Linked DNA regions of Macaca mulatta. The protein of the gene in region 5 interacts with the protein of the main gene of each other region in a pairwise test. Links are inferred from orthologs where the notes say so. Each region holds a gene or a part of one and is shown on either strand. Other genes may lie near its edges. The genes, in order: PSMF1, FAM107A, POLL, SMARCD1, LDOC1, CTNNBL1 and DPPA4.

Region 1 (3,500 bases), on a different chromosome or scaffold from region 5:
CCTCACAAAGTGCTGGGATTGCAGACGTGAACCACCGCCTTGTTCCCAATCTTAGGGGCAAAGCAGTCTTTCACAGTAAAGTCTATTGTTATGGGTAGGTTTTTTGTAAATGTTCTTTATCAGATTAAAGAAGTTCCCCTTTATTCTTAGTTTGTTGAGAGTTTTTAATCTTGAATGGATTTATCATGTTGGATTTTGTCAAAAGCTTTTTTCTGTATCAATTGATATGATCATATCATTTTTCTTCCATAGCTTATTGATATGGTACATTACATTGATTGATTTGTGACTACTAACCAGTCTTGCATACCTAGAACAAGTCATACTTGGTCATGGTATATAATTCTTTTTATACATTTTTAAATTCAATTTGCTCTTATTTTATTGAGGATGTTTTTTTATGTGTGTAAGTTCATAGGATATAATAGTCTGTATTTATTTATTTATTTTTTGTATGGTCTTTGCCTGGTTTTGATACCAGAGTAATACTGGTCCCATGAAAGGGGTTGGAAAGTATTCCCTCCTCGTATATTTTCTAGAAGTGATGGTAAAATTGATGTTAATTCTTCTTTAAATGTTTGATAGAATTCTCCCTGAAACAATCTGAGGCTGGAGATTTTTTTTTGTTTTTAGAATGTTAAGTGTAATTCATTTTCTTTAATGAAACTATTCAGATTATCTGTTTCATTTTGGCTGAGTTGTAGTTTATGGTTTTTAAGAATTGGTCTATTATGAATTGTTGGATTAAGTTGTTCTTAGTATTCTCTTATTATCCTTTCAGTGGCTACAGATCTATTGTAATATCTCCTGTTTCATTCTTGTTACTGGTGACTTATGTCCTCTCTCTTTTTATATTTGTCAGTCTTGCTAGAAGTTGGTCAATTGTATTCATTTTTTTTTTTAAGAATTGACTTTTTGTTTCATTTTCTCTATTGTTTTTCTTTTTTATTGACTTATGTTCTTACCTTTATTACTTCTGCTTGCCTTGGGTTAATTTGCTCTTCTTTTTCTAGGTTCTTTAGGTCAGAATTTTGGTTATTGATTTGAGTTCCTTCCTCTTTCTTGATGTAAGCATTTAGTGCTATGAGGTTTCTTCTCAGCAATCCTTTAGTTATATCCTGCGTATTTTCCTATGTTTTTATTTTCATTTTAATTCAGTGCTATATATTTCTTTTTTGGGACTTTGATCCAAGGATTTTCTAGAAGTATGTTGCTTAATTTTCATGTACTTAGAGAGTTAACTTTTTGTTTTGATTTCTGTTGTGCTTCCATATGGTTGGAGTACATACTTTGTATGGTTTCAGTTATTTTACATTTGTGAGCTTTGCCTTATGGGCAGGATGTGGTTCATTTTAAAATACCAGTGTTTTAGGAAGCCTGGAGTCCTACCCATTCTGTTACCTCAGCCTGCCTCCACACCTCAGCTGTGGCTCACGTCACTTGTCTCTCACAGGCAAAGAAAAAGAGGCCCAGGCAGGATGGGATAGGTGTTAGGGGCAGCCTTCCGAGGACTCCTGAGTTAGTGACAGAACTGGACCTTGAGCCCCCAGAGCTCTGCCTGCCTGGACCAGGAACCTAATTCATCCTCCCCGTGGAGCCTTTGCCTTCCATGACCCTTCCCATGACACATGATGAACACACAATGAAGCTGAGGGAGGGGTGAGGTGGGTGAGAACAGAGGAGTAGCCAGTCCAGGCTCGGTGCCCCTACACCCTCACCTCTTTCTAATGGGGTGGTAACGAGGAGGGGCAACTCAGATGCCTAAGAAGCTTAGGCCCAAATCTCAGAGACAGCGTGGGGCTGTTGCCCCCCTCACCCAGGTCCACCAGGCGGCCTGTTCCCCCACTTATAAACAGGCCAAGCGCAACGCCAGGAGCTCTCAGGGCCGCCGCTGCCATCGTTGCGGCCAGAATACCGCTTCCAGGGTTCCTAGCCAACTGCAAGCAGTTGACTCTTCGTCTGCTTCCTGCAGGACCTACAAGAACAGTGAGGAGCTTCGGTCTCGTATTGTGTCTGGAATCATCACACCTATCCATGAGCAGTGGGAGAAGGCTAGTGTAAGCAGTCCCCACCGGGAGTTCCCCCCTGCTACCGCTAGAGAGGTGGACCCACTCCGGATTCCTCCACACCATCCACACACCAGCCGGCAGCCTCCCTGGTGAGTACAGAGCGTCCAGCGGGAAGCCCATGCTTCTGCAGCGGGATTCCAGCCAGCTATCCCCATCCTGCCACTTGACCCCATCCCTGGCCCGTGTGTGTTTTCAACAAAATGATCAATGTCTTGGGGTTCAATGGAATTAGAAAGTGGAGACGTAAGTGGAGCAGTGAGTTCTTGAACTGCTACTAGTCACCCTAATTACCCCACATCTTAAGCCTGCCTTACTTCTTTCTAGAGGCCACACAGAGCCCCTGAGTCTATCCAAGGATCAGTGCCTCTGGGGCTTATGTGCAGTAGTCCAGGGTTGCTGCCCAGGTAATTCACAGCTAATTCATCCCAGAGCTCTTTGTCTAGACAGGGCCCTGGGCCAGTCTTTTTGAGAAAATGCAAAGATGCAGAGGTACTAACCCAGAGGAGATGCAGTCCCAATGTCTTGCCCATTTCATTTCTTTTCACTGTAGTCCCCCAACCTCGCTATCAACTTCAGAAGTTTTCCAAAATAGCATGGGGTGTGAGTGAGTCACATTCCAAGGTTTTTGCAGATTAGGATGGCAGCGTTAGGACTGGAGACTTCTGCTCAGAGGGAGGAGACAAGGACCATGAGACCCCAGCCTCCAGCTGAGATACCACTTCTCAGTTTGGAGCCCATACTGTGATATCATACTGTTGGTGGGGATGAGGGACAGAGTTCACTGTGAGGGACATAAATAAGCACTTAATAAATGTAGACTACCATTGTTATTTTATTCTGGTTCATAATTATATGCCTTTAGTTAGCTAAAAATGGGAAATCAGTTAAATTATTACAAGTAATGATTGGCATATCTCTTTGGCAAAGTCTTTACCAAAAATATTGAGTCCTGTGAAGACAATGGAGAATTAGAAAAAGTGGTTGAAAAGATTGAAAATGACTTGTCTGATATATCTTATTTTACCAAAGGGAATAGAGATAAGATGACCTGCCTGAGTTCACCAGCCACCAATAAAGAGGTAGAGCCAGGGCTGGGGTCTAGGTATCCTTACTCCCTGCACAGTGCTCTGCCTGTGATGTAAACAGATGTGATCTAACCACCTTTCCATGCTGGAAAGATTTAAGAATAAGCCCTGGTCAGAAGTCAGGTTGGGAAAAAATTTTAGACCTGAAGTAAATAGTAATTCTCAGCTTTATTAGACCCAATGCCCATTTCAAAACAAATATTCTGTGAAATAGCTCTTACTATATTGAAATGGAATTCATAGGTATTCTAACTTACCTCATCCACATTTCAGAGGAAATCAGTATAAAGTCCTAACTATAATATAAATTAGAAAAAGAGAGTAATTAATAAGATGATGATGTATA
Region 2 (3,952 bases), on a different chromosome or scaffold from region 5:
AATAATTCTCAATAGGCAGACTATGGGACTGATGTTGTTTTTCATGGGGTGGGGATAATAAGAGGTCCGAGGAAAGATTGGGAGCCCCTTGCTTGATTCCTCCCTGGTTTTGTTGGTGACTCAAGAGGTCCCAGAGCTCCTCGCCAGAGGCTCCACAGGACGTTGGCCCCACACCAGGCAAGGCTCAGTGGAGATCTCTGCTGCTCCCAGGGAGAGGGCACAGGGCCACTGGGGCATGCATGGCTAATGCAGGGTGGCAGATTTGAAACCAAACACTGGTGCCCCCACCCACAGGAGAGAGTAAGGAGAGACAGAAGGAGAGCTGCACTGATGGAGTCTCAGGGCCCAGTTCATCTTGACAATAGCCATACCCCATTCTGTCTAAGACCTCAGTGACCCTTCCACTTGCCTCTCCACTGTTATGGTAGTCCTATTTCTGTCTTTGATGGCATCAGTTGTAACAAATGACACATGAGCCAGTAAAGCAATGGTTAAAGCAGATGTTTTAGTGGAGACAGACTGGGTTTGATTCATGGTGGCAACCCTTCCCAGCTGTGTTACCTTGGACAAGTAGCTTAACCTCTCTGACCCTCTATACAGCAAGGATAGTAGCCTATTCACGGAGCAGTTTGGAGGATGAAGTGATACAATGGCACAATGTGTTTAGCCCAGCACCTGGCAGAGTGACACTCACCGAAGACAAACCATGGTACTTCTGTCCTGAAGAAATCCTGTGGTCACCTCTCGAATTTGATCTGGATCTCTAAATCACCCTCAGAGGCAGCCAGTGGTACCCCGTTTTATAGATGAGAAAACTAAGGCTCAGAGAGGCCAAGCTACTTGTCTCAAGATACACAGAGAGTAAGCAGCAAAGCCAGGACCTTGGACGCCAAATTCAGTGCTCTTTCTATCTCTCCACTGTCTTCAAGGTGCAAAATGTCTTTTAGTTGACAAAGCAGGGTTATGTCCCTTTTCTCTCTCTAGATAGTCAAGAAACCCCAATGAAGAGGCTGTGTGAGCCCATTTTATAGGTGAGAACATGGAGGCCTGCTAACTTGAGGACTAATAGCCTATGTGAAATACAGACTCTCCCTGGGGAGACCCAGCCTGGCCCCAGCAGCTTTGGGCTTAAGCTAGAATCCACAGGCCTGTCTGGCCTCAGGCTGGTCTCGTTTAGGAGAGGACCAGCTGTTGGCCTTTCCTCCTCTGCCCCCACTTCCTTATTACTGTTCAAGCTGCTGAGTTCAGAACACATTCAGGACCCTCTTGGTTCAGCATTTAATGGGATGGCAGGCAGAGGAGAAGAGAGGCTTTCAAAATAACGACTGGCAAACGAAAAAGAGGCATTCAGTAAAAGTGACAAGCATGGTCACTGGATTTCCTGACCCTTCTGGCTTTTTTCCTCTCCATGGGGAAAGTGCCTAATTGTATTTCACTGGCCAGCAGCCAAAGAACAGTGTATCTGGGAGCCACCTCCAGATCTCTCAGCAGCCTCTGGTCGATGCTCGGAAGCCCCCAGCAGAGCTGCTTGTCCATTTGGATGCAATGACTCAAGGCTGACTTCCTGAACATTTTGCCTTGGGTCCGTTGTAATTTCCTACCTTGGGAGAATGTTGGGTGGGCATTTAGGATTTTGAATCAATTAAATAGCAGAGTCCAGGGCTAGACATGGAGGGTCCTTAGCAAGGTTAGTGGACAGCATTGTGCAGTTGATCTGGAACAAGCATCAGCAGACCTGGAATCCCTGCTGGCTCATTAGTGGCATGATGCCAGCCACTTTACCTGGCAGATGCCTCTGCAGGGAAAATTCCAGCAGGTACTTACCACCAACAGAACTAAGAGGGCCACTTAGGATCTAAGTCACCCAGAGATGCAGGTGTGGGGGCTGCCTTGAAGCTCGAAGTGACTTGAGTTTGGTAGCAGTTTCAAAAAGTGACACACCCAATCCTACAGCTCTTGATTTCTGGCCCAATCTCAGACTTGCCTTGTATTGCAAAGTCCTAAAGCCAAATTCACCAGAAAGGCAGGCCCTTCACACGTTAACCTGCATGCACTATGTGCCATGCACTGTGCTAAGCACCTAGCAGTCGTATCTCATGAAATATGAAATTCTTACGACAGACTGAGAAGGTGGGTACTGTCATTATCCTCTTTTTACAGTCAAGGAAACTGAAGTTCAGGGAAGTCATCTGATTTCTCCAAATCACCCAGCCGGTGAAAGAAAGAGCTCGAATCTGAGCCCAAGTTCTGACGCTGAAACCTGTGTTCTGTCGGTTGTGCCGAGAATTAAACCCCCATACTGTGTGATAGTTGACTTAGGTGAGGCTATATCATGCATTAATTCAGATTCACCTGAGGATGCAGCAGAAAAAGATCAACAAGAATGCAGGGCTATGCCTAGGGGCTCACTTCTTTGTCTCCTACCCTTTTCCGAAACCCAGGGTGCCGGGAGGCATCTCCCGTATCATTTTACAGATGCTGGGACATAGCCCAGGTACCTAAACTCAAAGCACTCAGGTCCACTGACAGCCCACTTCAGTGCACAGGGTCTGCCCTCCTTCCCTTCCACCTCCTCCCGAACAGCACCGCGCTCGACAGCGGGGGAAACAGAACAGAGATGGTCTTACTTCTCAGGTCGAGTCCTTGGGAAGGGAAGTCAGGAGCGTGTTGCTGGGTTCCTCACTCCACTGGGAAGTCCCAGACTAGCAAGGAGGGCTGCCTCTAGAGGGCGGTTCTTAAACCCCTGGGAACGGGAGGCTGCTGAAATGTGCCAACAAGTGAGACAGCCTTTGCATTCCTGTTTATTCTGGTATCAATAAAAAGGAACTGTTACTATAGTAACAGATATTTCACTTGGTACACGGCCACTTCCACGATGCGGAACATCATGTCCAAGCCACACGCTTGAGAGGCACAAATAAATACCCATTTTGTCAGATTGATGAGGAATAAGAAACACGCCAAGCTTTGTTCTGAGCAAGGCAGCTCACGTAAAGGAATTTCCCTTGTTTTTTATGGGAGGGTCAGGCAAGAGTGGATTCCAGCACTTCCCCATGGGAGGGGAAGCCAAGCTTCCTGCGGCAGTGGTGTGGATTCTTCAGGAGAAAATGGCTCTGGGGGGAAAGGGGTGGGGTGTAAAGGGAGGGGAAACTGCTCAGCATTGGGTCAGTTCTTGATTATCCACGAATGGGTCAGAAACTCCGTACACAACATTTTCCTGATACCCCGAACGCCATGGGCACTTCACAGAGGAGCCAACAGGAGAGTGTAGGAGAGGGGAAGCACCGTGTCTGGGTCTCAGCAGGCTCGAGTGTTGGCCCTGGCTCCAGCACCAGCCCCTTCAGCAGCCACTCAGTGTCTCTGTGTCTTGGTTTCTGTGTTTGTCAAACGTGGAGCATACCAGGGTGGTTGGGAGGTGACATGGATGAGATGACATTAGTGAAGCACACAGTCAAAGCTCAGCATATGGGACTTTTCTCCAGCAGAGACCTGGACTCTATGTGAACTGAGGCCAGAGCCCAGCATGGTGCATTTTGCCTGGCAGAATATGTGTTCCATAAGTAGTGGCTCAAAGAATGAACGTGTGAATGTAAAATATAAAAGTAGGCCAGGAATGGTGGCTTACACTTGTAATTCCAGCACTTTGGGAGGCCGAGGCAGGCAGATCACTTGAGGTCAGAAGTTTGAGACCAGCCTAGCCAACATGGTAAAACCCTGTCTCTGCTAAAAATACAAAAATTAGCCAGGCGTGGTGGCACACACCTGTAATCCCAGCTACCCGGGAGGCTGAGGCAGGACAATCGCTTGAACTTGGGAGGCGGAGTTTGCAGTGAGCCAAGATTGGGCCACTGCCCTCCAACCTGGGTGATGGAGCAAGACTGTCTCAAAAGAACCTGAAAAACAAACAAACAAACAAAAAAACCAAGAAAAGTAAAAAATGTATGTAGATCCT
Region 3 (4,092 bases), on a different chromosome or scaffold from region 5:
TGGTACGAGGTGACAGGCTTATGGAAGCTCTTGAGAGCATTGATGGCCTTGGCATAGCCCAGGGCCCTCCACTTGTCTCCCTGAACACTGTAGGCTTTGGCCAGAACTTCCAGCTTCTCTGTGATATGGAGGTTGTGGTTGGTCGCCTTCTGGCTTGAGGGCTGTGCACAGACCCACTTATCCAGGACCACAGGGGCTGGGCTAGGATCACAATCTCCCTCAAGGGAGGCGGGGTAGTGGCCACTGATGAGGGCTTCCAGATCAGCTGCGCTAACCTGGGTTTCTTCCCCATCGCTGGCTTCATCATCAGAGATGGGCTTGGGGTAGAGAAGAAAAGAAAACAATAAATTCTTGTCCTCCAGGAGAAGGGATCCTTAAAGGTGGGGGTCATCTTCTTTGTGCAGGGGGAGGGTCTTCTAGTCAGACCTAAGAATGAGGTGGGGCCTTCTGCATCAGACTTGGATCACCTCGGGTGTGGGGCCACATTCCCTTTGGCTCACCGCAGTGCCTACCCCTAGGATCCCCAGTGGTATGTGTTAGATACGGCCTAGATGAATGCAGGAGTGATGAGTGTTGGGAAGAGATATATGGCTTCACAATGGGGTCCTCCTCTCTCCGGGGACTGGGACTTTCTGAACAGTCATCAGGCCCTCCCCATTTCTGTGATCTGCTTCCTAGGGGAAGGGAGCTCTGAGGGATGGAAGGCTCCTGACCTGGGCTTGGGTGTTTGGTGCCTCTTTTGTCTTTTGGGGAGGAGACACAGGCCTGGTGGGAGAAGGAGGAGGAGGAAGCGCTGTCTGAAGCAGGGCCTCATGGGTGCCAGGAGGAAGAGAAGCATCCTGCTCTGCCTTGCTGGGCTGTGACTGGTCCAAGTACCTGTGGGGATGGTGATGGGAGGTTAAGACACCAAAGGTCTCACCCTGTTTCTGTCCCCAGTCCTAATGTATTCTGAAATACTTGGTTTCCCAGTGTGTCCAATTAAGAAAATGAGTTTTTTGAGGTTTTTGGAGTTTCTCTTGAGATAGGGTCTTGCTCTATCACCCAGGCTGGAGTACAGTGGTATGATCAAGGCTCACTGCAGCCTCAGCCTCCCTGGCTCAATCAATCCTCCCACCTAACCCTCTTATAGCTGGGACTACAGGCATATACCACCATGCCTGGCTAATTTTTAAATTAATGACAGTTATTTTTAATAATTCAAGAAGAGAGCTCAAGATGCTACTAGAAAACATTGGAAAAAAAGACTGGGATCAGCCCACCTACTGGGGATGAAGATGCTGAATCCAGCTACATCCACCAGCCTCCTCTCCTGAAGGCACAAGCTCAGCCAGGCTGACTTCACCAGCTGAGCACCCGGGGGCAGCCGGGGTAGTCTGAGAAGGCGGAGGGCTCGCTCATAGTCCATGCCTTCATCCACCACAATGTGAGTGACACCTGGGCCCTGGACAGGGCATAACTGGCCACCATGCTGAACAATCTGCTTCTCAAAGAGTTCTGCCCGGGCTCGTCCAATGCCAGTGCGCACAACATGGGCCCGAAGGGAGCTCAGCCACTCTGGGGAAGGAACATCCAGATGACTACTGTCATAACTTTTTAATTTTATCTGCCACCCCCTGGCCACAACTTCTAACATGATCTGAATACAACTTCTAACATGATCTGAATGACATGTTCACAGTCCCCTACCCTGAAAATAAGCATTTGTCTTCCATCCAGGCAGGTTTCCTTCTATATACAGCAAATTTTCTCACAGGCCAGTACTTGAAAGTAAGGGACAAGGATTTTTATACGTCCTGTTCCTTGGTGCAACCTAGAAGTGTCTGGCACATTGTAAGTAACCTGTAAATATCTGCTGAATGAATGCCTCCTCCCTTCTTACTTTGTTTTTGTTTTGTTTTTTTCGTTTGTTTGTTTGGAGACAGTCTCACTCTGTTGCCCAGGCTGGAGTACAGTGGCGTCATCTTGGCTCACTGCAACCTCCATCTCCCGGGCTCAAGCGATTCTCATGCCTCAGCCTCCCAAGTAGCTGGGATTACAGGCATGTGCCACCATGCCTGGCTAATTTTTTGTATTTTTGGTAGAGACGGGGTTTCGCCACATTGCCCAGGCTGGTCTCGAACTCCTGAGCACAGGTGATCTGCCTGCCTTGGCCTCCCAAAGTGCTGGGATTACAGGCATGAGCCACCGCGCCCAGCCTCTCTCCATACTTTGAATCCTTTATCATTTATTCTTTCAACAATGCACATTTCTTGCCCTTACACTCTGACAGACCCGACAACCCTGCCTCCAAAGCCTCTGCTATTTATTTATCAATTTGGCTGCAAAACAACTAACAACAATCCTGGGTAATGGAGGGGGGTTTCTGTCCCAGTCCCCCAGGGCAAAAATTATACTGGTCATTCCCTGAGGGTCCAGGGAGTCTTTTCCAATTGATAGGGGTGTTCAGGTAGAAAAGAAGATAACACAGCAAATGGCCTGTCCAAGACCCAGGACCAAGCTTAGTACAAGGCAGATACAAACAGACCTGCAGTCCATGGACAGGCAGAGTCAGCTCCAATATCTGATTCTGGACATGAACAACATAGGGCTGAAGCACATGAAGGCTGAGGGTTCAAGCGCATGAGGGTTCTGAGAGTGGGTCATCTCACCTTCTGCTTCTTCTCCCTCTTCCTTCCTGGGAATCTTTGCAAGTACTTTTGATGATGCATCAGCATGAATTTTCTTCCGTTTGGGAAACGCCTTCAAGATACCCCTGGGATCCATTGAAGTACGGCTGCATCCCAGCCTGTTGGAGGGTTGGTCAGGGCTGCTGTCAGGTGGAAATACAGAATTAAGGATCTCCAACCCCTTTGCCTATGGAGGTAGGGGGTAGCAGCCCAGTTTGGGGAAGCGGGAGGTTGGGGGGGATCTCTTCAAACCCTGTTAAACTAGCTTTTTAGCCTAGCTTCACACTCCCCAGTCTTTCAAAGTTGGAGTATTAGGGGAAATGAGGGGAAGGCTGGAGCCATCGGGGGTACTTTTAAGGAGTAGGAAACTATACCCATTCCTCAAAGGGGTTGCTCTAAAGATTCAGCACAGCCCTCCTGCTGCGGCCCACTTCGAAGGGCTTTACCAAAATGGGATGCTGGGCTAGGAAATGGAGCTTTAGGGGATGGAGCGGAGACTGGGGAGGACCTGCACATAAACTCCACATACTCTTTTTCTACCTCCAACACAGACTTGCAGAGGAAAACCTGAGGAGGCGGACTTTCGCGGGTGAGTGGGAACGCCCTGCACCTGCCCTGGTCTCAGCCTCTCGACATGGGGATGCTCAGCGCCGCAGCTGCGGGGAGATGGGGCACGGCCGCAGCAGGTGTGGGGAGCCCTCCGGGAATGGAGGAGTCTCGCAGCTGGGGGTGAAGACCCAGGCAGGTGTGGTGTACTCGCCCTGTACGCAGCTGGCGCAGGCCAGGGAATCCCAGCTCGGGGCTAGTAGAGAGTTGGAGTGCCCAACCCCGGCGCCAAGAGTCTCTCTCCAACCGCCAGAGTCAGTCCCCGGGTGCGGTCGACAACAGGCCAAGTTGGTCACCCGAGGGTGGGCAGGAGTAGGCCACTTACCAGGAGAGCCAATGAGAACGGACGAAGGGGGGAAGGAGGGCAAATGCCCAGAATAGCTTCCGAGTCAGCCGGAAGTGACCTTCAGTGGAACGGTTGCCATGGCAGCGGCCGGGCGGGCTGCTTAGCACAGGAAAGATGGCGGTGACGGGCTGGTTGGAGAGTCTGCGGACAGCCCAGAAGACTGCACTGCTGCAGGACGGTAACTCGAGGGTCCCCGCGAGCTCCTTCGTTTTTTTCCCCCAGGGTCCGGCCCTCCGGGAAGGGCCTCAGGGCCTGGGTCGGCAGAGCTGGAAGGGTCTCGGTGGTCAGCCGGGCCAGGTCCTGCATTTGCGGATGAGGAGACTAAGGCTCACAGAGATGACATGACCAGAACACATGTCTCCGGACACCCCTTAAATTTCTCTACACCATCTCGCCCCGCTCTGAGTTCTGTTGCTAATATAGTAATTTCTTTTACATTCGTTATCTCATTTGCTCCTCACCACTGTCCTGAGA
Region 4 (4,170 bases), on a different chromosome or scaffold from region 5:
GAGGAGCTTCTGGGTTGGGAAGTTTGGGGGCTATCACCTGTCAGCTGATGCTCCCCAGGAAGCAACAAAGAGCCTGTCAAGAGAAATCTATCCTACTTAAAACTATGGGGTGCCTCCAATGAAAGTTGAGAAGATGGAGATACCACAAGAACTCAGAGAGGAAACACGGCCTCAAATTAAGTGCAAACTCGACTAAAAACAAAACAAAACAAAAACTAAATAATCTACAGATACGGCTAAATCCAATGGCCAGCAGCACCAAGAGGAAGGTAAATCACAAATCAGATCCCAGGACAATAAGGTTCTCCATATGATACCAGTGAAGGCCAAAGGTGTGGGGGCAAACACAAAGGACCATTGTCTTTCAGTGCAGGGAACAGTGTCCCTCTCCCTACTGCTCCCAAAAGGAGCTGTGAGCACCAGTTAGGCTTCCTGCTGACCAGACAACACTGTTCATTCCCAGCAGCTCCCACCCTAGATGCCAACCACTGTGGACCTTGAACTCACATCCTCCAGGAGCCGTCCTTCTACCCGAAGCTCCCAGGAAGCCACCGTCCCTTCCCCATCCTCGGCATCTGACTTAGCCGGATTGAAAGTGTTAGAAATGAAAATTCGCAGCTTCCGTTTTTGCTGAGGAAGGCAGAAACAGGATTGATCGTGGGGCTTCAGTGGTCTAATGTTGAAGACAAGAGTCTCCCCAAACCCCAAAATTATTCCTAACAGACTGGCTTACTGTCTACCCAGTCCCTTGGGTGGGTGGATGAAGATTCCATTTAGAAGAGGAGTACTGGCCATCAGCCTAAGTACAAGTGCATACAGTGGGATGCCAGGTGGACAAAGTCATGCAAGGTGCCAGGTTCCCAAGGTAGCAGAGCAGTTACAGCAAAAACATGGACAAGGGTATATTTGTAGTGCAAGAGACATCAAGAGCCCCTCCCCCTTTGCCATTCTGTTCTTATCCTCCTAATGTAATTCTCAGTTTGTAGGCGGAAGGGAAAGATACAATTTAAATGCCAAGGAGAGTTGTGCTGTGCCTTTGATTTCTCATCCTAAGCCTGCTGAAGGTTCCTGGGTCCTCTCCTTTGGCTCTCTGCTTAGTAACTTCCTGTGTTACCTTGATGGGACGTTTCAAGGCCTCTTGGATATCTAGTCGTTTCCTCATGATAGTCTGGTCCAGTTTCCTTTCAAAAGCCAAGAGATCCATATAGGCCTGGGATTCTGGTACCAGTTCACGAATCTTAGGAACAGAAAAATTAATTGAAATCTAGGATGATTCATCTCTATACTCAAACCTACCACACTTTCCAGAAAACAGCCTGGACTCACCCTTTGAGGTAGAATTTTGTCAGCCATCTTCTTTTTCTTTGCACTGTTGGGAATAAACACTATTATCAGGTTGGGACAGAACTAGTCAGAACGTGAAAATAAGCTGTCAGCATGTCCATTTATAGTAATGTGAAGGGATTGCAAAGCTTCTCTCAAATCAAAGAACTACCACCACCACCACCACCACCACCACCACCACCACCAAGCATTCTCAATCATCCTGTAGCACCATCTGCTGACACAGCACCACCACTTCTTGGTTCAGGTAATCCCACCACCTGTGTACTCCCAGGCTCCCTCCCTCCCTCCCTCTGCCCCAGGATCATCTTACTTGTGGTTTCGATTTTGGACAGCCTGCTGCTGGACCTGCTGGATCTGCTGAGGGGCAGGTCTCTTGCGGGACTGATCCATCCCTGACTGGGCCAGGCCAGGTCGGACTGAAGGGTTCCCCCCATAGCCAGGGGGTCCCATGGAAGGTCCCTGAGGTGTCATTCGGCTGCCTGGCAACATACCTGGTCTCTACAGAGGGGAGAGGACCCAGAGATGTCATGGTTTCACCTGCTAAACCCCACCAAGAAAGAAAAGCAGGGAACGCCTGAGTTCTTTGAATGAAGTAAGGTTTACGGATGGAATGGAGGACAATGAGACGAGAACCCTCTGCTCCAGCAGTGACTCCACAGAAAAATAAAGAGTCCAAAAGCTAAGCGAGAGCCAGATTATACTCAAATTATCGGTCTATTTTGGATCGGACACATCGGACATCGCCAGTTCCACATTTACTCTGCTAGCTACTATCTCTTTAGAAGCTGACCTCAATTTGTCAACTACACGTTCTGTGTTCCTTTGATCAATGGAGCTGCTCAAGCCCCTCTGCACTCCGGCCCTCGTACAGGTATCCCTGGACCCACTTCACCCACCCTGGTTCTCTACCGACTCCCCACGGAAACAATGCCCCTAGGAGCAGGTGTGGACGCCAACTGCCTCCCCCTCTCTTCCTGCGCACTGCCTCCCCCAACCCCCACCCAGAGCCCGAACCCCTCCCAAGGGAGTCCCTCCTACTTCTCCCCCCACCCCTGTCACTCCCACGTCCCCGCTCGGCCCCGCCCCCGGCCCGCGCGTCCCTCCTCCTGCCCCACTCACCGGATAGGCCGCTCCGGGCATCGGGGAGCGGTACAGCCCTTGACCCGGAGCCGGGCCCATTCGCACGGGAGGCCCCGGAGTTCCGCCCGGGCCCAGGGCAGCAGCCGCGCCCGCCCCTCCCGAGGCTCCGGCGCCGCCGCTCGGAGCCACAGACTGGAAACCCGCCCGGGCCGCCATCTTCCCGGAGCCGCCGATGCAGCTGCACAAAGAACCGGAACCGGAACTCCCCCCGCCCCCTGAGCGCCCCCCGAGCGCCCGCCTGTTCCCCCGGCCGGCTGGCCGGCACGGGAGGCTCAGGGCAGCGAGACTGTCGCCTAGAGAGGAGCGAGTAGCGGAAAAGGCGTGCTGGCCACGCCCTCCCGCCTTCACGGTCCTGGAGGGAAAACCATAGAGAAGAACTCTGGGATAGAGAGGCCCCGTGAGCGGGCGCCCCCAGGCCGACGGGAGGTAGACAAGGACCTGGAAAGGGGGACGGACCACAGCCTCAGCCCCAGTCTCAACCCCGACTCCAGCCCGCTGATGATGAGGTGCTTGGAGTAATAGCTTCATCTTGGCGCATGGCATTAACTTCCCAAAACGCTTTGATTGCTTTTCGTTTCATTTTCTTACTGCTATAACTATCAGGGGCTGAGGAGGGAAACACAGTTTATTCCATTTTCCAAATAGGAAAGCTGAACTCACAGGTGAACGACTTGGCAAAGGTCAACCAGCAAGTTAGTCATAAAGCCGAAGCCAAGATTCCAGGTCTTCTTGCTCATAGCCCAGGACTCATTCCACAGATAAAGTGCCTCAATAACTACCTCACGTGGGAACTTCAACCTAACTTTGTCTCCGACCTAACCTGCTTCCGGATTATTATTATTATTATTTTTTCGACATGAGGTCTCTCTTTGTCACAGTGGCACCATCTCAGCTCACTGCAACCTCCGCCTCCCAGGCTCAAGTGATCCTCCCACCTCAGCCTCCCGAGTAGCTGGGATCACAGGCATGCACCACCATGCCAGGCTGTTTTGTATTTTTGGTAGAGACAGGGTTTCACCATGTTGCCCATGTTGGTTTCAAACTCCTAAGCTCAAGTGGTCTGCGCGCCTCAGCCTCCCAAAATGCTGGGATTACAGGTGTGAGCCATTGTGCCTGGCCTCAGATTTTTTTTTAATATTAAAAAATAGGGATGGGGGTTTCATTATGTTGCGTAGGCTGGTCTCGAACTCCTGGCCTCAAGTGATCCGCCCGTCTCAGCCTCCCAAAGTGTTGGGATTACAGGCGTGAGCCACCGTGCCAGCCTGCTTTCAGATTTTATAATAAGTTCCAGTTTATCTTGAATTTTGACTCTGCTCTCTCTCTAAAGCATTGTTTGTGATGGGGATTCTGTTTTGGACCTTTGTTGCCTTTGACTCCTCCCTCTTTCCCTGCCCAGTGGTTCAAACTATTCCTGATACGATGGTCAGCCGTCCCATCCCAGGAGGACCACAGTCTCCCTACTCAAACCTTCTCCTTACTCATCCCCTAATTGTTTGGCCCCAAAACCAAGCTCAGCTCTAGGCACTTAGTGAGAATACCTAAATATGTTTTCAAATAAGTGAACAACACTGAAGAGGAGATGGTTGAAACCCAGTTTATTAGACCAGAGGCATGCGTCACCCAAAGCCCTGCCTGCTGTTCCCCTATCCAATGCACACTTTTTGGCCTCATTCCTGCTTCCCT
Region 5 (3,082 bases):
CCTGTAAGTGACATGTTGGCTATTTGGAGTTTGAAAGTGACAATGTACTATGTTGGCTCTCTGGAGCCTGAACTCAACAGCTGCATATAGGCAATAAGGATTAAGGGGCAGAACTTCCCTGGCACAATATTAAGGAATCCAAAAGCTCAGAGAATTAGGAGCAATACATATATATGTCCTGGTTTATGCCTGTTGTTACGGTCTAATTATTAATACTGCCCTCTTTGCCATCTGCTCAGCCAACCCTTACCCATGCCACCCTGGAGGACCCAGAGAACACACCCTTTGCCAGGGCTTTAAGAAATGCGTTGGTGAAGGAAGCATCAGAACCCTGACAAAGCCCTGAGGTAGCTGTCCCCAGCAGCCTGGAGTTGACAGCAGGGATTCCTAGGATTGGTTGTATTCCCTGATTTCCATGGGAATAACGGTAGTCACAGTGACAGTTCTAGAGGTCAGTGATAGCACTTAACTATTAAAAGACAATCATTTCGTTTTTTAGTGCTTGATATTTATTGAAAATAATGCCAATGCTTTTTCCAGGTAGTATTGAGGAGCTGGGCTGAGTGCTTGTTTGTTTTGTTTTTAGTACTATTTGTCCAAATGCATACATCTGTGGGACTGCTGCAATTTTGAAAGAAAAATGACAGCTGTGTAAAACCAGTGCATAGGAAAAAAGAAATATCAACAATTTGGCTGTCAGGCACACCGCGCCCCTGCAGCAATCTGGTATGGCAGGGGAGGACACTCGGAGTAGGTAGAAAACTAACCAGGCTGAATGACTGGCCTCTTCAGGGGTTGGTGAGCTGTCCAAATCAATGTCCGAAGAGGCAGAGCCAACTCTGGCATTTTCCAGGTTGGTCCTGATCTCGAAAGGCGGTAGTCTGTAGGTGGGATGTGGTGAGTGGATGTGAAGTGGCAGCATAGTTCTCTGGGCAGATGTAAGCCTGGCAGCAGGGCAGGTGGCAGCAGCAGGGCTATGGGTGGTCTGCGCAGTTTGTAACAGGGGCCTGGCCAATAGCTGGGGTTCAGGACACAGTTCAGATTAGCAGGGGAGGGATCCCCGGGATGGCCAGGGTAGATGACACTTCCAAGCACTTCCGAGTGAGTGAGGCTCCAGCCCCAACCCCAGCAGCAGGTAACTGGAGCACTATTCCTGGAACAAAGACAAGCACTACGGAGAAATGAAGAAAGAGCAGACGGGCGCGGGTAGGGAAGGGGACCGGAGGGCAAGGGGGAGAGCACTGGCTCCTGGCGGGGTGAGGGCTGCGGGGAGGGGGTGACGGCGTGCAGGGCCCTCCCCCCGAGGCCCGAGGGCCTAGTAATTATCCTCTTCGTCCTCGTCGTCGTCGTCTTCGTCGTCATCCCAGCCAAAGCACTGTTTCATCTCATCGAGGAAGGCTCGGTAATCACCTAGGATGGGGCTATCCATCTCGATGTAGGGCACCACCCACTCCTCGGCTTCCCCGGTGAGGAGACTGATTAGGAATGCCACCTTCATGGCGTCGTTGCAGAATCGGTTCTCGTTCACGAGCATGTAAGACGCTGTCTGCACGATAAACTCAGGGAGCCGGGAGCTCTCGCCATTAAACGTTTCGGGGAAGGGCACCGGGCAGCTCGGCGGACGTACCTGGCGCAGCAGGCTGGCCCTCTCGCACACCAGCAGCCGCAGCTGTTCCATGAGCTGGCTGTTCTCGATGGTCAGGGCGCGGTGCCGCATCAGGAGCGCGTGCAGCAGCAGCACCAGCTCATCCACCATTGCGAACAGCCTGGAAGGACAGGGCTCGGCTCGGTTCGGCTCGGCCAAGGTGCGCACGGAGGCCTCGCAGGAAGTGCGTGTCCACGGAGACGCTCGATGGCCAGGGGCTGGGGGCGGGGGGCGGTGCGCGCCGGGGTCCGGGAGGCTACGCAAGCTCCGCCCACGAGGCCATTCGGACGGATGGTGCGCCGGCGCGGCGCGGGAGGGGCGTGGCCAGACTGGCGGCCGCGGCTGCGTGGGGGCGTGGCCGGGATGGGAAGGGTTTAGACAAAGAGGGCGTGGCCAGGAAAAGGATGCATTGGGTCGCTGAACCACCGGCTTGTGGTAGGTCTCTAGGCGGGCAGTTAAAGGCTGGGGTAGGCTCCCCTAGCTCCTGGTTGTGGGGCCTGCGTTAGCAGAGGACCTGGCGAGCGCTGAGTTTGGTCTCAGAGAAGGCAAATTTGTTCAAACTGAAAGGATTAGCCACCCTTCTACCTAGGCAACTCTCACAACTCAGTTGTTCCTTCGTGGGTCTGTGGCCACTAGATTCTCTTGGCGTGATGTTTTATTAACACATTTTCTTTCTTGTTTAAATCTCACTCAGAGAAGTATTGACACTGCTGGCTGCACTGTGGGACTCACACTTCCTTTTAGGATCATGAAGACCTTCAGGGGTTCCTGCCTTTCATGAAAAAGGCAGTATTTAAACAGTGACTTCTTTAGTAGGGGAATAATATGGCATACTCCCTTAAAACAAACAAACAAAAAAAAACAAACCTAAGTAGCAGGATATAAAGAAGTTTTGCAAAATCAGCATCCAATAATCAATTGCAGGCATCCCACATATCTTTGATTCTCTATTTCTTGTCCTGCTATTAGTGCCTTTGGCCACTGGGTTTTATTCTGTACTTAAAAATGAACTGTTAAGATGTTTGTGTTTTTAAATAATTTTGTTTTTCTACTTTAAACGGATCCCTAGAGCCGACAGGAATTGTTGGCTCTGCTTTCAAATATATTGCCAATTCAGTCATGACTTGTCATTTCTACCACTGCCACCCTGATCCCCAGCCTTTCTCACCCAGACTGCTGCAACTAATCACTTAGCTTTCACTCTTTTCTTCCTATAGTATATTCTCCATAGAGTAGCCACAGGAATCGGGCGCGGTGGCTCACTCCTGTAATCCTAGCACTTTGGGTGGCCAAGGAGGGCGGATCACGAGTCAGGAGATCGAGATCATCCTGGCTAACAGGGTGAAACCCTGTCTCTACTAAAAATACAAAATATTAGCGGGGCGTGGTGGCAGGTGCCTGTAGTTCCAGCTACTCAGGAGGCTAAGGCAGGAGAAT
Region 6 (3,500 bases), on a different chromosome or scaffold from region 5:
CCTGGTCCTTACTAGATGCTGAGAAGGAATTCAGACAGGTACTTTGAATCCTGAAGTAGCATCAAGAATTTAGTAACCCTGCCTAGAGAATGCAGAAAAAAGCTAGTAGACCATACAGAATTTTCTGGCTTCATACATTGGAATAATACCTATGAAAGCAAATAAAATGAATATTTGAAAACTAAATCATTTTTTCTCCAAAAAATCTACACTAAAATTTCACACATTTTATCTTCAGTTTACCTTCCAGTTTAAATTAGTGTGCTGCAATGCACCCTGCTTCTCTCAATACTATCCCAACTCAAAGCTTCACAGCTTTGTAGTCATTGACCATAACTCAAGCCTAAAAGCGATAAAGAAACTGCTATTAAGAGAACCTGAAATAGATCCTTTTGGAAAGCACTGAATCATCCCATAATTTTATAAGTACTCAAAAATGTTAGCTATTATTCTATTATTAAATTTCTATTTCCACATATTGGGCTTTAAGTGGGAGCTACCCATAAATTCATTTTCGGCATGACACATTTCTTAGATTACACCAATGATTCCTAGATCCCAAGGTTCTCTATCGAACCCCTACCTCCTCCCCAGGGTCTACAGCTTAAAGAGAGGTTCCCTGATGTGGTAAAAACAAGTCAGAGTCCTGGCTCAGTCAAGACTCAGAGCCTAATTTCACTACTTACTAGCCATGTGACAATGTTACTTTGCTGAATATATTCCTCAAAGCTTCATCAAGTCCAGCTAATTCTAACTCCTAAATCTTTCCTGAATTCATCCACCACACACTGAGAATAAAATCCCAAACCCCTCACATGATCTATGTAAGGATCTGGCAGGATCTGCCCATATAATCTCTCCAACCCCAAACCAGGGCAAAGACCCCCATTGCTAGCCCATGTCTACTTGTTCTGTGGCACAAGTAGACTCTCCAGTGTCTGGCACACAGCAGGTACTCCGTGAAGATCTGAGGAAGGAAAGAAGGAAAGAAGGAAGGGAGGAAAGGAGGAAGGGAGGAAAGGAGGAAGGGAGGAGGGGAGAGGAGGGGAGAGGAGGGGAGGGGAGAGAAGGGGAGAACAGGGGAGGGGAGGGGAAGGAAGGGGAGGAATGAAAATGTTACCTGTATCTCTCAAGGTCATAGAGATGACCTAAAGAAAATATGTACATAAAAGTGCTTTGTAAACTACATGAATGCAAGCTGTTATGGTTATTATTAGCAACAGGCACAATGTACCCAACATCTCACTGGAATTTAACCAAAATAATCAAAACATTTCTAGGAAAGAGTTAAATCACTTTCAAGCAAGCTCAATATCTGCTACTTTTCTTTTTCTTAGCTAACATCGTGCCCCACTCTGGAGAAAAACCACATTAGTGTTAACACAGCTCTCACGGGATTTCCGAAGTCCTAGCCTCTCCAGGGTTTGGCCTTCCCTCCTTTAATTTCTCTCCAACACTGGGGGAAACTGAATTATCAGTCTTAGTCATCAGCCACAGCAGTATCTCCAATAGCTCAACGTCAGAAACCAGAGGGAGATTTCAGAAAGATGAATGCTGGTGATGTAGCACAAAAAGGACAATAATATTTTACAAGTTCACGTGACTTTACAGGGGCAAGCATCACTTGTTTTTCATCAAATGGGACTTTGGTGGCAGTGAGAAAATAACTCCTGGACTTGTAGCCTTCCATGTGTCATTTTTACAAAGTGATCTCTTTTTCCCTGTCCCTTAACAGAAGGGCTGGTCCCACATTACATTTCTGTCTCCCAGGCTAGAAACCACTTACCCATGACAGCTACTATCCTAATCCTCCAGTACCAGCCTTGCCCTACATGGGAATTATACCTGCCAATTAACTGCTGCTGCAGGGCTAACAGATTGAGCAGAAGCTGGTGAGGAGGGAAAGGAGGGAGGATGTGCTACACACACTGTTTGCCTAAGCCCTGGCAAGGCTGCTGCCCTCAGAGAGGAAATTCAAAAATTCAGGACTGTCTCCCACCACATATTTCTAAAGTGCCATCATCTTTTAGGGGCAGACCCCCAAATTAACACTAGTACAAATCCTAATAAGGAAATAGCTACTGTCACAACACAGTAAAGACCTTTTTGGAATATGAATCCATTTTTTCTTCTTCTCAGATTCACACGCCAGCCTCATTTTTTAAATCCAAACTTAGCATCGTGTCTTTGAGGGAACCAAAAAACAGCTGGCTCTTAAGACTCTATTTCCATAATTCATATTGAACAAAATGCCAGAGTGAAATAACATACAAGTTAACACTTAAAGATTTAAAAAGACACAGAGGTAAGGTCATTTTGTTTTTAATCACTGATATTTTACCTCCACTCTTCCCAGCTTCATTTATTCATTCAATAAATATTTATTAAGGGCCCACCAAGAGCTAGGTATTGCTCTGGGTACCAAAGATAGAGCTGTGAACAGAACAGAGCCAGTCTCTGTTTTCATGGGAGGTTGGGAGGAGGACAGCAATGAGCACAATAAACAACTAGAATTTCAAATCATGATACGTGCTGTGCAGACAATATACAGAACACAGTGATGAGGGAATGAGAGAACGGCTTGCAGGGCTACACAGGAAAGACTTCTTGGAGGAGGAAACATCTCACTGAGACCTGAATGTGAAGAAACCAGCCATACAAAGCATCAAGGAAGAAGAGCATTCCAACAGAGGGCACAGAGGTCCGAAGGTCCAGAGGCAGGAATGAGTGGAAAAGCCCCAAGGCATCTTGGGCAACAGCAAAGAGAAAGGCCCTGAGGAGTCTCCTTCCCTAAGCTGTACTTTTGCAGTCACATCTAAATATCTAACAATGTGGCACCCCCTTAAACTTCTCCACTTTTGTTGCTTTGCTAATACCACCATTTTCTCTGCCTAAAAAGCCCTTCCTTCCACTTGATAAAATTTGATCCCTCTTTCAAAGGTAATAACACAAGTGCCTTCTATGTGTCCTCAGTAAGATCCAGGAAGCCTGCCTGGATAATTCGAAAACTCTGTCTTGTTCTTTACATCTCGCAAGATGCTTTCCCAACTGCCCTAGCCCACTTAACCTTCACATTAACGCGATGAAATATGAATTCTTAACCCCATTTTACAGATGAAGATGGGAAGCTCAGACAAGCTGAGTATTTGGCCCAAAATTACATTCTATAGGGCCGGCCATCTCAGCTCCCACCCATCGCTGCCATGTTACCTCTTCCTCTTCCTCTTCCCCATCTCTGTCAATAATCTGAAGCAGCCTTTTTTTGTCATCATCCGCTTCTTCCACCACAGTCATTTCTTCTTCCCGATAGCGGCCACGTTCTCGAGTACCAGTTTGTTTCCGACGCATCTTCTGCTCCTCCTCTTCATCATCCCGGGGACGTTTTGTGCCCCTATTGGGCTGAGAGAAAAGAAACATAGGATTTTAGAGCTGGACATGACATAGAAGCTGGGCATGGTGGCTCACACCTATAATCCCAGCACTTTGGGAGGCCAAGGAGG
Region 7 (3,500 bases), on a different chromosome or scaffold from region 5:
CAGCCCAGCCTGGCCAACATGGTGAAATCCTGTCTCTACTAAAAATACAAAAATTAGCCAGGTGTGGTGGTGCATGTGTGTAATCCCAGCTATTCAGGAGGCTGAGGCAGTAGAATTGCTTGAAACCAGGAGGCAGAGGTTGCCGTGAGCTGAGATGCACCATTGCACTCCAGCCTGGGCACAAGAGTGAAACGCTGTCTCAAAAATAAAAAGAGGCAGCACTTAAATTTTTTTAATTGACAAAAATTGTATATTTTTATCATGTACAGCACATGGCTTTGAAATACGTATACATTGTGGAATGGCTAACTCAAGCTAATTAATACATACATCACTTTACATACTATATTATTATTATTATTATTATAATTATTGAGACAGAATTTCGCTCCATGCATCCGCTGCCTCCTGGATTCAGATGATTCTCCCGCCTTAGCCTCCCGAGTAGCTGAGATTACAGGTATGCGCCACCACACCTGGCTAATTTGGATTTTTAATAGAGACGGCATTTCTCCATGTTGGTCAGGCTGGTCTCAAACTCCCGACCTCAGGTGATCTGCCCACCTCAGCCTCCCAAAGTGCTGGGATTACAGGCGTGAGCCCCACCGTGCCCAGGTTTTCTTTCTTTCTTTTTTTTTTTTTTTTAAGACAAAGTTTCGCTCTTGTTGCTCAGGCTGGAGTGCAGTGCGCAATCTCAGCTCACTGCAACCTCCACCTCCTGGGTTCAAGCGATTCTCCTGCCTCAGCCTCCAGAGTAGCTGGGATTACAGCACCTGCCACCACGCCTGGCTGATGTTTGTATTTTTAGTAGAGACAGGGTTTCACCATGTTGGCCAGGCTGGTCTAGAACTCCTGACCTCGTGATCCGCTCACCTCGGTCTCCCAAAGTGCTGGGATTACAGGCGTGAGCCACTGTGCCCGGCCAGCAATTTTCTTTCTTTCTTTTTTTTTTAAAGACAGAGTCTCCCTCTGTCACCTAGGCTGGAGTGCAGGCTCACTGCAACTTCCGCCTCCCTGGTTCAAGTGATACCCCAGTCTCAGCCCCCTGAGTAGCTGGGATTGCAGGCATGAACCACCACGCCTGGATAATTTTTGTATTTTTAGTAGAGATGCGGTTTCACCACGTTGGCCAGGGCTGTTCTTGAACTCCTGACCTCAAGTGTTTCACCAACCTTGGCCTCCCAAAGTGCTGGGATTACAGACCTGAGCCATGTGCAGCCAACTGTGCAATTTTCAAGAAGACAGTACATTGTAATTAACTATGTATAGTTACCAAGTTGTACAGTGGATCTCTTGAACCTAGACCTCCTGTCTAAGTGAAACTTTGCATTTGATCAAGAACTTCTTAACTCTGAGGCCATTTATTTTTGTTAGAATTTTAATCTTTATTTTTATCTTTATTATCTAACCCTTTCTGTAGGATTTTCCTAGCACAGCAAAAGAGGCCAAAATCCGGAAATCATTGAAAAAAAAATTAAAGGTGGAAAAAGGGGAAACGTCCCTGCAAAGTTCTGAGACACATCCTCCTGAAGTGGCCCTTCCCCCTGCGGAGGGGCCGCCTGCCCTGGAAGATTCCACTGCTCTCCTTGAGGGAGTTAATACAGTTGTGGTGACAACTTCTGCCCCAGAGGCTTTGCTGGCCTCCTGGGCGAGAATTTCGGCCAGGGCGAGGACGCCAGAGGCAGTGGAATCTCCACAAGAGGCCTGTGGTAAGCCCAACACGAAGAGCTTATTCTGGTCCAGTGGGGAAATAAGCTTAGTAGAGATTAATGCCTGATATATTTTTAGGGTATATCAAAATGCCTTTGAGGGCCGGCGATTCCTGGACCCTGCCCACAGAGTTTCTAATTCAGGTCTAGGACAGGACCTGAGCATTTGCATTTCTTTCTTTTTTTTTTTGAGTCAGAGTTTCGTTCTTGTTGCCCAGGCTAGAGTGCAGTGGTGCGATCTTGGCTCACCACAACCTCAACCTCCCGGGTTCCAGCAATTCGCCTGCTTCAGCCTTCCTGAGTAGCTGGGATTACAGGCAGGCGCAACCATGCCCGGCTAATTTTGTATTTTTAGTAGAGACGGGTTTTCTCCATGTTGGTCAGGCTGGTCTCAAACTCCTGACCTCAGATGATCCGCCTGCCTCGGCCTCCCAGAATGCTGGGATTACAGGTGTGAGCCACTGCACCCAGCGAGAGTTTGCATTTCTCAGTTTTCCGGGCAGCAGTAAGGATGCTGGTCTGGGGACCACAGTTTGAGAACCACTGCTTTAAATGATTGATGGCATCAGAAGAGGATAGCAGTTTGGTTTTCTTTCTTTCCCCTTTAAGCAATTTAAAAGTAAGATCTAAAATTAATTGCCTGCAGCTGAGCCCCAGAATGGCATTAATAAGTTATTTAAAATATTTCCCAGTGTTTTCATTGTAAAATGGGCGATACCTAGCTTATATGTTGTAAGAATTACAGAAAATACAACAAAAGAAGACAATAAACTGTTTAGCACAATCCAATGTGTGTTCAGAGCTGGGGCCCCTGAGCTTGTTTCATGAAGCCCTTTCCAGACACTCTGGGTTAGTCTTTCTACCATCTGCCCACCTACAACTATACTACTTCCAACTAGATTTATTTATTTGTTTGTTTGTTTGTTTATTTGAGACGGAGTCTTGCTCTGTCGCCCAGGCTGTAGTACAGTGGTGTGATCATGGCTCACTGCGAGCTCCGCCTCCCAGGTTCACGCCATTCTCCTGCCTCATTCTCCCAAGTAGCTGGGACTACAGGCGCCCGCCGCCACGCCCGGCTAATTTGTATTTTTAGTAGAGACGGGGTTTCACAGTGTTAGCCAGGATGGTCTCGATATCCTGACCTCATGATCCGCCCGCCTTGGCCTCCCAAACTGCTGGGATTACAGGCATGAGCCACCGTGCCCCGCCTAGATTTTTAAGTTTTAACAGGAACTGTCTTGTATGCTTTTCTAAAGGAGAACAGAATAGAGAAGAGGTTAAGTTAGGATTTCAGGGTTCACGTCTTGGAGTTGGTCAATCAAGGGTGATGGGCCATAATGCAGCCTTACATCGGTATGTCATCCTGGTGTGTGGGTGCCTGTCTCTCTCCTTCGCCAGGTGTCAGGTGGTGTGTGGTCCATGGGAAAAGTCTCCCTGCAGACACAGATGGTTGGGTTCACCTGCAGTTTCATGCTGGTCAAGCCTGGGTTCCAGAAAAGCAAGAAGGGAGAGTGAGTGCACTCTTCTTGCTTCCTGCCTCCAATTTTCCACCCCCGCATCTTGAAGACAATATGTTGTGCCCCAAATGTGTTCACAGGTAATTACCTGATGCTTTTCTACAAACTAAAAGTGGGTGCTGGATTTTCAATTGCAGAAAGTCAAGATACACATTAATCTTATATAGCCATGTATTTCAAGCTCAAATTGTCAGTAAAGAGTTTCAAGAAAATCATTACTCAGTTAAGTTTATCCCCAGGAAACAGAAAGCATTTCTGTGTCAGGGTTTAACGC

The links.
Region 1: the proteins of LDOC1 (region 5) and PSMF1 interact in binary tests that used the Homo sapiens proteins (3 or more experiments, as listed by UniProt). The two-hybrid records come from large-scale screens. The link is inferred for Macaca mulatta from reciprocal best matches to the Homo sapiens genes LDOC1 and PSMF1.
Region 2: the proteins of LDOC1 (region 5) and FAM107A interact in a two-hybrid assay, tested with the Homo sapiens proteins (2 studies listed by BioGRID and IntAct). The two-hybrid records come from large-scale screens. The link is inferred for Macaca mulatta from reciprocal best matches to the Homo sapiens genes LDOC1 and FAM107A.
Region 3: the proteins of LDOC1 (region 5) and POLL interact in a two-hybrid assay, tested with the Homo sapiens proteins (2 studies listed by BioGRID and IntAct). The two-hybrid records come from large-scale screens. The link is inferred for Macaca mulatta from reciprocal best matches to the Homo sapiens genes LDOC1 and POLL.
Region 4: the proteins of LDOC1 (region 5) and SMARCD1 interact in binary tests that used the Homo sapiens proteins (3 or more experiments, as listed by UniProt). The two-hybrid records come from large-scale screens. The link is inferred for Macaca mulatta from reciprocal best matches to the Homo sapiens genes LDOC1 and SMARCD1.
Region 6: the proteins of LDOC1 (region 5) and CTNNBL1 interact in binary tests that used the Homo sapiens proteins (3 or more experiments, as listed by UniProt). The two-hybrid records come from large-scale screens. The link is inferred for Macaca mulatta from reciprocal best matches to the Homo sapiens genes LDOC1 and CTNNBL1.
Region 7: the proteins of LDOC1 (region 5) and DPPA4 interact in binary tests that used the Homo sapiens proteins (3 or more experiments, as listed by UniProt). The two-hybrid records come from large-scale screens. The link is inferred for Macaca mulatta from reciprocal best matches to the Homo sapiens genes LDOC1 and DPPA4.

Annotation. Positions count from the first base shown.
Region 1 is NC_133415.1:83,002,117-83,005,616, reverse strand, and holds part of PSMF1 (proteasome inhibitor PI31 subunit), read left to right. Parts: intron 1-1,972; coding exon 1,973-2,158; intron 2,159-3,500. UniProt on the Homo sapiens protein: Plays an important role in control of proteasome function. Inhibits the hydrolysis of protein and peptide substrates by the 20S proteasome. Also inhibits the activation of the proteasome by the proteasome regulatory proteins PA700 and PA28.
Region 2 is NC_133407.1:122,159,730-122,163,681, forward strand, and holds the start of FAM107A (actin-associated protein FAM107A), read right to left. Parts: upstream 2,801-3,952; 5' UTR 2,628-2,800; intron 1-2,627. UniProt on the Homo sapiens protein: Stress-inducible actin-binding protein that plays a role in synaptic and cognitive functions by modulating actin filamentous (F-actin) dynamics. Mediates polymerization of globular actin to F-actin. Also binds to, stabilizes and bundles F-actin.
Region 3 is NC_133414.1:113,660,634-113,664,725, forward strand, and holds the start of POLL (DNA polymerase lambda), read right to left. Parts: upstream 2,801-4,092; 5' UTR 2,764-2,800; coding exon 2,649-2,763; intron 2,604-2,648; exon of another isoform or gene 2,525-2,603; intron 1,555-2,524; coding exon 1,260-1,554; intron 877-1,259; coding exon 714-876; intron 318-713; coding exon 1-317. Other genes in the region: protein DPCD, read left to right, coding at 3,733-3,796.
Region 4 is NC_133416.1:57,257,524-57,261,693, reverse strand, and holds the start of SMARCD1 (SWI/SNF-related matrix-associated actin-dependent regulator of chromatin subfamily D member 1), read right to left. Parts: upstream 2,801-4,170; 5' UTR 2,644-2,800; coding exon 2,467-2,643; intron 1,846-2,466; coding exon 1,658-1,845; intron 1,370-1,657; coding exon 1,327-1,369; intron 1,238-1,326; coding exon 1,115-1,237; intron 631-1,114; coding exon 508-630; intron 1-507. UniProt on the Homo sapiens protein: Involved in transcriptional activation and repression of select genes by chromatin remodeling (alteration of DNA-nucleosome topology).
Region 5 is NC_133426.1:147,689,613-147,692,694, reverse strand, and holds LDOC1 (protein LDOC1), read right to left. Parts: upstream 1,851-3,082; 5' UTR 1,757-1,850; coding exon 1,316-1,756; 3' UTR 501-1,315; downstream 1-500. UniProt on the Homo sapiens protein: May have an important role in the development and/or progression of some cancers.
Region 6 is NC_133415.1:90,595,802-90,599,301, reverse strand, and holds part of CTNNBL1 (beta-catenin-like protein 1), read right to left. Parts: intron 3,400-3,500; coding exon 3,211-3,399; intron 1-3,210. UniProt on the Homo sapiens protein: Component of the PRP19-CDC5L complex that forms an integral part of the spliceosome and is required for activating pre-mRNA splicing.
Region 7 is NC_133407.1:174,309,768-174,313,267, forward strand, and holds part of DPPA4 (developmental pluripotency-associated protein 4), read left to right. Parts: intron 1-1,420; coding exon 1,421-1,709; intron 1,710-3,107; coding exon 3,108-3,306; intron 3,307-3,500. UniProt on the Homo sapiens protein: May be involved in the maintenance of active epigenetic status of target genes. May inhibit differentiation of embryonic cells into a primitive ectoderm lineage.